2 linked regions of the Rattus norvegicus genome follow. The protein of the gene in region 1 binds, or shares a complex with, the protein of each later gene. Links are inferred from orthologs where the notes say so. Each region holds a gene or a part of one and is shown on either strand. Other genes may lie near its edges.

Evidence for each region.
Region 2: Dnaaf10 (region 1) and Asdurf share a complex: the UniProt entries of both Homo sapiens proteins name them as parts of the PAQosome complex. The link is inferred for Rattus norvegicus from reciprocal best matches to the Homo sapiens genes DNAAF10 and ASDURF.

The regions. Positions count from the first base shown.
Region 1 is NC_086032.1:95,818,834-95,823,285, forward strand, and holds the start of Dnaaf10 (dynein axonemal assembly factor 10), read left to right. Parts: upstream 1-1,438; 5' UTR 1,439-1,480; coding exon 1,481-1,663; intron 1,664-2,197; exon of another isoform or gene 2,198-2,738; coding exon of another isoform or gene 2,739-2,849; intron 2,850-4,452. Other genes in the region: RNA-binding protein PNO1, read right to left, coding at 559-708, 830-1,033. UniProt on the Homo sapiens protein: Key assembly factor specifically required for the stability of axonemal dynein heavy chains in cytoplasm.
Region 2 is NC_086027.1:55,617,344-55,621,791, reverse strand, and holds the start of Asdurf (ASNSD1 upstream open reading frame protein), read right to left. Parts: upstream 2,994-4,448; 5' UTR 2,937-2,993; coding exon 2,847-2,936; intron 1,259-2,846; coding exon 1,205-1,258; intron 1-1,204.

The sequences.
Region 1 (4,452 bases):
AAAAAATGGGGGGGGCGGGGGGGGGGACGCACAACTGGATCTCCTACTTGAAAGGCAGGCTTAGCCAAGTGTCTGGCTTCTATCCCTTAGAAACGCTGAGGATCCTAGAATATCATATTAGAAGCATTATGATATGGGAAAATTAATTTCGTATTGACACAGATCTACTGAAGAAAAAAAGAGACTTAATTTACATTTTCCCTGTGACACACGTTTGCTCCAAAAAGAGCACTTACACTGAAGTAGGTACCTGCAGTTAACCCCTTACTGATGTACATCCGTGGACCATTCTCTACTTTTATCAAGTCAACACAGAGAAGACACTCAAAAGGATACACAATATTCAGGAGTGATCTTACAAGCGATTTAGGAATGCAGTCAACACCTGTTTTGAATGTAGTTTTGAGGGTATTTAGTTAATTTGAAATTCACTATAGTAAAACGGGGGTTGGGGGACGCTTAACAGAATAACTCTACGAAGGAAAAAAATGCACTCATTTATTTTAGTTTTGAAGGGGAAAATTCGGTAGGTTAAAAAGGATAAGCCCTTTTCCTTACCCTTATTTCTACATTCCTTGATTTCAGGTTAAAGCGTATCTGAAGTCCTAAATGTTCAACAATCGGGGTAAATATCTTCATCCAGTTTTCTTTTAATGGTGTGTATCTGTTAGCTGGGACGGGAATTTTTCTCGTTTCTTCTTTCCCAGTCTGCAATAAAAACAAACACACACTCAGAAGGCGAGTGGAGAGATGCGGGCTGGAAAGGTGAAAACCGAGAATAGACCCTTTCGTCTGCCTGGGCCCCGCCCCGTCCCATCCGGATCCCCACCAGGAGCTGATCTCCCGAGAGCGGCGGGAAGACCGGCCTCTTCGCCGGCCGCGCCTCCTCCGTGTCCATGCGTCCAGCGTCTCCATCCTGTCCCGCCGCTGACGATTGCTCAGCCTGTCGCTTCTTCGCCCGGCGGCCCCCTCTGTGCGTGACGGGAGTAAAGCCGTCCTCCGTCCCGGTGTTTTGCGTCTCCATCTCGGCCATGTTCAACCCGGATAAGTGCAACCACTGGAACACGTGCGAGGTTGTGCCGCGCATGCGCCAGCCTCCACCAATCAATTTGAAGGCTCCGCCCCTTTTCCGAGGCGGGGTCCATGCGGGGGGCCTAGGGCAGGATTGGTCCGCGGTTCGGAATGGCTGCCCTAGAATATGCCTGTTTGCTAATGTCTCCGTGCCGTCTCGCGCTCGCAGCCAAAGCATTCACATTCTCTAATGTGTCTATGTGAAAACGTTGTGGTAAAGGCGGTAAATCAGCTTGTGCCGTGTGTGGAGAAGTATCTGGTGCGGTCTCAGCAGCTCACCCGGCATTTTCGGAGGCAGCCAAGCCCAGCTTGCTAAGGCGTCCGGGTTGAGTGCGGCTAGGGAGGGACAAACTGCCCCTGAGATGTTTGCAGTTTGGTTACCAGGTTAGCGTTTGGCTGCTTCTGCACCATGTCCACCTTCGAGAAGCCTCAGATCATTGTCCATATTCAAAAGGGCCTCAACTATACAGTGTTCGACTGCAAATGGGTGCCCTGCAGTGCCAAATTCGTGACGATGGGCAACTTCGCCCGGGGCACCGGCGTTATCCAGGTGTACGAGATCCAGCGCGGGGACCTAAAGCTGCTGCGGGAGGTGGGTGCAGGCTTGGATCTGTTTGGGTTTGCGTGGGTCTGCATCTCTCTTTGCCACAGCAGAAACAGAAAGGAGATTACAGATTGAGGAATACTTCAGAGTTAAAACTTTAACATCCCAAAATCTCCTTGCAGAGCTAGTACCTCGGCTCACTGCCAGCCTCTGCCTCTCGCCATTCTCGGTGCAGTCGATTGCAGGGTTTCTGGGAAGCCAAGTGGACATTGCTTGGCAACGTTCGAGGACCATTTAGGCTGTTGGCAATTGTTGTAGTCTACTAGTAGGTCTATGTAATAAACCCACGTGCCATGCCAGCAGAACCAAATGAGGCACCAGCAGGAGACCTACCACGAAGTTGGTGAAGACTAGTAAATACCCCATTCTTTCACAAAGTGTCAGTTCAATGCCTGGTAAGGCCCAGACATGGGAATTGCAATGCCAACGATCTTACGGAATTTATTTTCTGTTGGGGGAGACAGTCAAACAGCCAGACCAAGGATGCATAATGTAAATCAAGATGAGTTTTCTAATACACAGGTCTGTGAAAGTAAAAACAGATTTAGGATGAGTAGTAAGCAACTAAGGCAAATGCAGAGTAGAATATGACGTTTCCAGAAGAAACAACATGAGATAGTGGTGGAAGATCGTTATCTTTTAAAAAACAAAAACCCAAGCTGGAAGTGGTATTGCACAACTTTAATCGCAGCGTTCGGGGGTAGAAGCAAGAGAATTTCAGTTTGAGACCCTGTTTGCAGCGATCACAACCCCTGTTAAAAAAAAATTACCATACACATATAAAAGGGGTAAGTAGGGACCATTGCAAGATCTGTAAGACATTTAACAGATTTGTCCTTTTTTTTTCTTTAAGAAAAGCAGGACACCACTGAAGAACTTTTAGGAGGATAATGAATGACCAGATTACAGGTTTTGTAAAAGGCTGCCAGGTAGCCAATTACAGAATGGTGACAGTAATTGACATTTTCCCCCTTCCTTCCCCTCTCCTCCCCTCCTTTCTCCTTCCCTTTCCTGTACATGTTTTTTGTTTTTTTTTTTCCCTGCATGTATCTGTGTGTACCATATGCAAGTGCACCTGGTGTCCCAGGAGGCCGTAAGAAGGTATTGGATGCGCTGGAATGGAGTTCCGGTGGTTGTGAGTTACCTTGCGGGCCATTCTGCTCTTAATCACCAGGTTGTGTCTTCAGCCCACACTGTTCACGCTTTAAAACTCTTTCTTTCCTTTCTTTCCGAGATGGGTGTTTTCTGTTATCCAGTTGGCCTCAAACTGTTAAACCAGCTTCTCAGGGGGCTGGGATTCAGGCCTGGAGCCACAGTGCTGAGTTGTGGCTAAGGAACAATTTTATAGTTCCTTAAGGTTTTCAGAATGTTTCTATTTGGGTTGACTGAAACAGATAACAGTTTGTTGTTGAGGTGCTGAGAGTTGATAAGAAACTAGGGCAAGTAGGAGATAAATAAACTTGCATGGCAAGCTATGTGTTCCTTCCCTGAGCTTTGCTGAGAGCCTGTTTTCTGGTTTAGTTCCAACTCTATAGCCAGGCATTGGACTTGGAGATTCTAAACATGGTTTGATGCTTCCCGCCTTGCCTTGTGTTCCTCACTGCTTAACGCGCAGTCAACTCTTGCCAGTCCAGGGGCCAGTTCGGATTATCTGATCTCTGCTCAAGGAACCTTTCAGTACATTCCACTCCTATAATACTGACTGTCTGTGGCAGAAATAAACAGTCTGCCGCATAAGCCAGAAAGCAGTGCCTTCTCCTGTGCTTTGTAAAGACCAGTCTCTCAGTACACATTCATTCAAAGAATGAAGACTGAATGAACCTGAGACCCAGTTTTAAATACTGGTGTAGGGATTGCCAATCAGTGTTTCTGGTAAGGACTCTGAACAAGGAAGCATTGGCATAAGAGAAGCCTTAAAGTGAGGGCCAGTCAGCCCTCAGCCAGAAAGCATTTACAGGCTTGTGTTTTGCTTTCCCAAGAATTACAATTTTTTTTATATAGTTTAGTAATAAGTTATTCGAAGTGAAATAGTGTTTATCTCTTCTAATTTCTGAAGAATGCTAGCAAAGTCTTATTTATTTATTCATTTTTAGTGAAAGTAATATGTGTTTATGAGAGAACGTTTAGGAAATATAACTAGGGATAAGAAATTGTCATACCTAACCTGAACCACAAGAATGACGACTTTGATGTTTTGCTTCCTTTTCACTCCACTAGTAATTACTGAGGCTGCCATTAGAGGTACTGGGCTAAAAAAGAACATTTCTAAGGAACACGTTAGAAACAAAGCAACTTTCAGAACTTAATGTTGTATTCGTTTGCGCTGCAGCAGAAAAGCGTGCAGGTTAAATACAGTCAGTGGTTCTCACTGCATCAAAGTTTATTTCTGTGTTTGGTTGCTAATCATGGCTGTGTACAAGATTTAAAATACCCATGCCTTGCTTATTAGAAATGCGACCTTCTGCTAGTTGATTTTGGTGAGTGCCAGAGTTGAGAACTTTTGGACCAGGTAGATTACTTACCTAAATTTTAGGAGGCATACTCATTTTGTTATGATGAATTGCATCAAGACTTGCTCCGAACCCACTGCACTCAAGATAGCAGAAAAAAGGCGCAGGTCGGCGATTGCCCGTGTCCTGCTTTATCTTACTGCTAAAGAAGTGGATAGACATGGAGGGCAGAAGGCCGGGAGTTTGGCATGCACCTTTAATACCAGCACTCAGGCAGTAGAGGCGGGAAGATCTCTGTGAATTTGATACCAGCTTGGTCTACACTGC
Region 2 (4,448 bases), on another chromosome or scaffold:
ATAAAAGAAAGGAAGAAAGCCAGCAAGCAAGCACGCACTGTGATAAGGTACTGCTTGGCTATAGTCCTGAGCAGTCAAAGCTCTCAAGAAATGAACGAAAGCTCTGCCTCAATTGCAAGAGGAAAAGGCTCCCAAGGCTCCCTTAGCATTGGTTACAGAACTGACAGTGGTTCTTAATCATTGGCAATGAAGTCTGTATTCTGCTTTCTCCTGTGTTGTGCTATGAGAGCACCTACTATGTCACAGTCCATTCACTCCATCATACAGCACCAATATTCCTAGCCACCCATGAGTGGTGTCCCAGGGTCATGACAATCATGTCCTTGCACTGAAAGTCCATGCTTCAGGCCGCAGTACCCATGACATGCTAATAAAAAAGAAGAATGCGACTTGCACAGTGATGTTGAACAGGATCCTCTTATCACCCACTCTTGAACTTCAGGAATATTCAGAAGAGTGATTACCACAGATAAACAAAGTCACTGATCACTATGCCACCCAGAGACGGTTGTTTGCTTCACATGTGTCATCACACCATAGTCTTTCAAATAACAAAGGCTATCACAGCAACAGGTTTATAATTTAGTTCATAAACGAATAATACATGGAGATCTTTTCTGACCAAGGAAGGTTCTTTTATATCACCACATTGGTACAATGTATAGTTCTTTACTGCCTTCAAGCTCAGTCATTTACTGTTCTGTCAACTCTTCACTACAGATGCTGGCAAGTACCTTTGCAGGTAAACACGCATTCATCCTCACAACTGCTTCCACACCGGTTACTCTGAAGTGTCATACAGCATTTACTCATTTTGCCAGTTTGATCTCCAAAAATTTCTGTATTAATTTGCCCTAGCATCTAATATTTCACAAATGACAATATCAGAAATGTCGATTATTAGTTAATTGTAGCTGATTTATTAACACATTTATTTAAAAGCCATGAAATGGGTTAAGTATTTGGAATATTAAAGTTTTCTATGGAAAACTTCATTCTTTTTTGTTAAAATATAATTTTTTCATCTTTGAGATCTACTGACTTATACAGGAAGAACAAATTTAAAACATGCAAAACCAAATGAGGATATCACTTTAGTTTTTAAATTACGATGTTTGAATTTTGCAATGTTAGCATAAATAATCTAAATCATAATTTTAATATTATATATATATATACTATTCAGATTCCCACAGCAACTTACCCGATTCTTCTTCAGGTTAGAAAGTTCATCCACAATAACTTTCTGTTCTTTAATCTATTAAAGTAAAGAAAAAAACCTAAAGTGGAAGTTTTCAAACTATGTTTAGTGAGCACATTTTTAGCAACTGCTTTAAAACAAAACATGGGACTGGGGCCTGTCATGGACTGCCTGTCTAAATGGATACTGTACAGATGCAACCACACTCAGGCTGGAACCAGTAGAAGACAGCTGGAGAAAGAAGCTGACTTAGACTTGCCAGGCGCCAGTTACCACAGCTCACATCTTTAACCAGGGTGAGACACTGTCTAGCCAAATTAATACCAATCTTTTAATTTTATAAGGCCTGGCTGTAGACTAAAAAAGAGAAATGAATGTGGCTTCTCCTCTTTACCAATAGCCAGTGGTTTTATGATGTATGCACTGGATGACAGCCAGACATTCGGATAAAATGAACGGAACGGTACTGAACGAACGCCCTTCCTGCAGTGGTACAACATCATCTCCCACCCTTGTATCATTCTATTTTGAGTATTAAGGACAGCATACTGCTGGTATCCTTAAGCTCAGTTTGTTCCTTATCATCAGATGAAATGCCCAAATAGGCAATAAGTCTACACTGACACAGCTACACAGTGCCAAGAGGCTTGCTATGGCAGTAGCCAGAGTATTCTGAAAACTCATCCCCACCCAAATGAGTGTGCATGGGCAGTGCTAAGAGCTGTACTAACATACGACAAAGCTACATTGAGTACACCCTCCCTGAGATTCAAGGCTGCTTGTACAGCGCTTTTATGCTCACTACAAACGACAGGTATATAATATATCTCACTTTAGGTGACACCACAGAATACTGTGGCACACTGGAAATAAGGCAATGTACTGAAGATGTCATACAGGACAGAAAAAAAATATGGAATTCAGGATGTTTAATAACTGAAAAGGCTGCACCCACACCCCCTCCAATCCACACGTTTAAAGATTTTTGTCTGTAACTGGAAGTTGAGATCACTGTACAGTTCAGGTATGGGGTTGCCTCCCTGAAATCCTGACTATTAGGCAAGAGAATAATTCAAGGTGATCCTCAAACAATATTTGAGGCTGGCCTGAGCTACTTATGAAACCCTATCCCAAAAAGAGGAAGGGAAAAAATTAATCTGCTACAGTCCTGGTTGAATAATAAAGAGATGACCAAACTGATGTTTTTAGGATCACTTAAAGGTGAGAATATATTTTAAGGTCAACAGGCAACTGATAACTTCGGTTAAGAAAATTTTGCCTGAGTCTGGAAGAACGGGCAGATTTCTAAACTTTCATGATGGACGTCATGGATGGCGTCCAGGCGGGTACATGGCTAAATGGATGAAGCACAGCCAACGAGCAACAGATCACATGTGTGAAGGGTTCCGAGAGGAGAGTGGTGCAAACGCGTAAAGGAAAAACGTCATTAAGACCTCTGTCTCAGTATCACTGTTGTTTGCAGTGGATAAATCTGTGCCTCCATCATAGCAAATCTGCAGGACGCAGGGGAAACCAGCGGCCGGTGCTGAGAATGGACCGGTGAGGCTACTGGGCACCGATGCGACCGCGGGACCCGTTTCCCGCCGCCCGCCGCCCACCGCCCATCCTCGGCGTCCCACGGCACCTTACTGCTAAGGGCCTCGGCGTGCGCGGTCGATGTGCGGGTGGGTCCCGGCGCGGCGCTGTCTCCGGGGTGCTCCGCACCGCTAGGCATCGCCACGCCGCACCGAACGGAGGAACCGCGGTGGATGAAACAGCAGGCGGCAGGCCCAACCGGAAGCCAGTGTTCCTTTCAGGACCCTGCCCCTTCCGGAACCTCGACCAATGGAGTGCGCATATTTACGCCTGCTCAGTAGCAGGCGTGGATACTAGATCCTGGAACTCCGACTTTAAGTAGCTGTGCATCAGCGCACATTAGTTTTGGCTAAAGGTTCGTCTGGCTTGGCTGGAGAGTCTATGAATGGTCTGTGTTGCCCCCTAGCGGATGCTATGTAAAAATAAATCACTAATCAGTAGTGTGCCTAACACTGTGGTCTTGGCTTTTTTTTTTTAATTTTTTAAATTGGATATTTTTATTTACATTTCAAATGTTATTCCCCTTTCCGGTTTCCCATTCATAAACACCGTATCCCATCCCCACTTCCCCTTCTTCTATGAAGGTGTTCCCCGTCCCCAACCACCAACCGCTTCCCACCTCCCCACCCTGACATTCCCCAACAATGAGGATCCAGCCTTGGTAAGACCAAGGACTTTTCCTCCCCTTAGTGCCCAACAAGGCCATACTCTGCTACATATGCAGCTGTAGCCATGGGTTTGTCCATGTATATAGTCTTTGGATGGTGATTTAGTCCCTGGAGCTCTGGTTGGTTGGTATTGTTGTTCTTATGGGGTTGCAAGCTCCTTCACCTCCTTCAATCCTTTCTCTAACTCCTCCAATGGTACCCCGTTCTCAGTTCAATGGTTTGCTGCTAGCATTTGCCTGTGTATTTGTAATGCTCTGACTGAGCCTCTCAGGAGACAGCTGTATCAGGCTCCTGTCAGCATGCACTTCTGGGCATCAGAAATATTGTATGTTTATGGGCTGGAACCTCAGGTAGGGCAGGTTCTGAATGGCAATTCCTTCAGTCTCTGTTCCAAGCTTTGTCTCCATATCTCCTCCTATGAATATTTTTACTCCCCCTTTTAAGAAGAACTGAAGCATCCACAGTTTGGTCGTCCTTCTTAAGCTTCATGTGGTCTGTGGATTGGATCTTGGGTAATTCGAGATTTTTGGCTAATATCCACTATCAGTGAGTGTGCATACCATGTGGTTTTTTTTTTTTTGTTTTTTTGTTTTTTGTTTTTTTTTTTGTGATTGGGTTACCTCACTAGGGATGATATTTTCTAGTTCCATCGATTTGCCTATGGATTTCATGAAGTCATTATTTTTGTAGAAATATACCACATTTTATATCCATCCTCTGTTGAGGGTTATTTGATTCTTTCCAGCTTCTGGCTATTATAAATAAGGCTACTGTGAACATAGTGGAGCATGTGTCCTTGTTATACGTTAGAGCATCTTTTGGGTATATGCCCAGGAGTGGTATAACTGGGTCCTAAGATAGTACTACTTCCAATTTTCTGAGGAACCTCCAGATTGATTTCCAGAGTGGCTGTACCAGCTTGCAAACCCACCAACAATGGAGGAGTGTTCCTCTTTCTCCACATCCATGTCAGCATCTGTTGT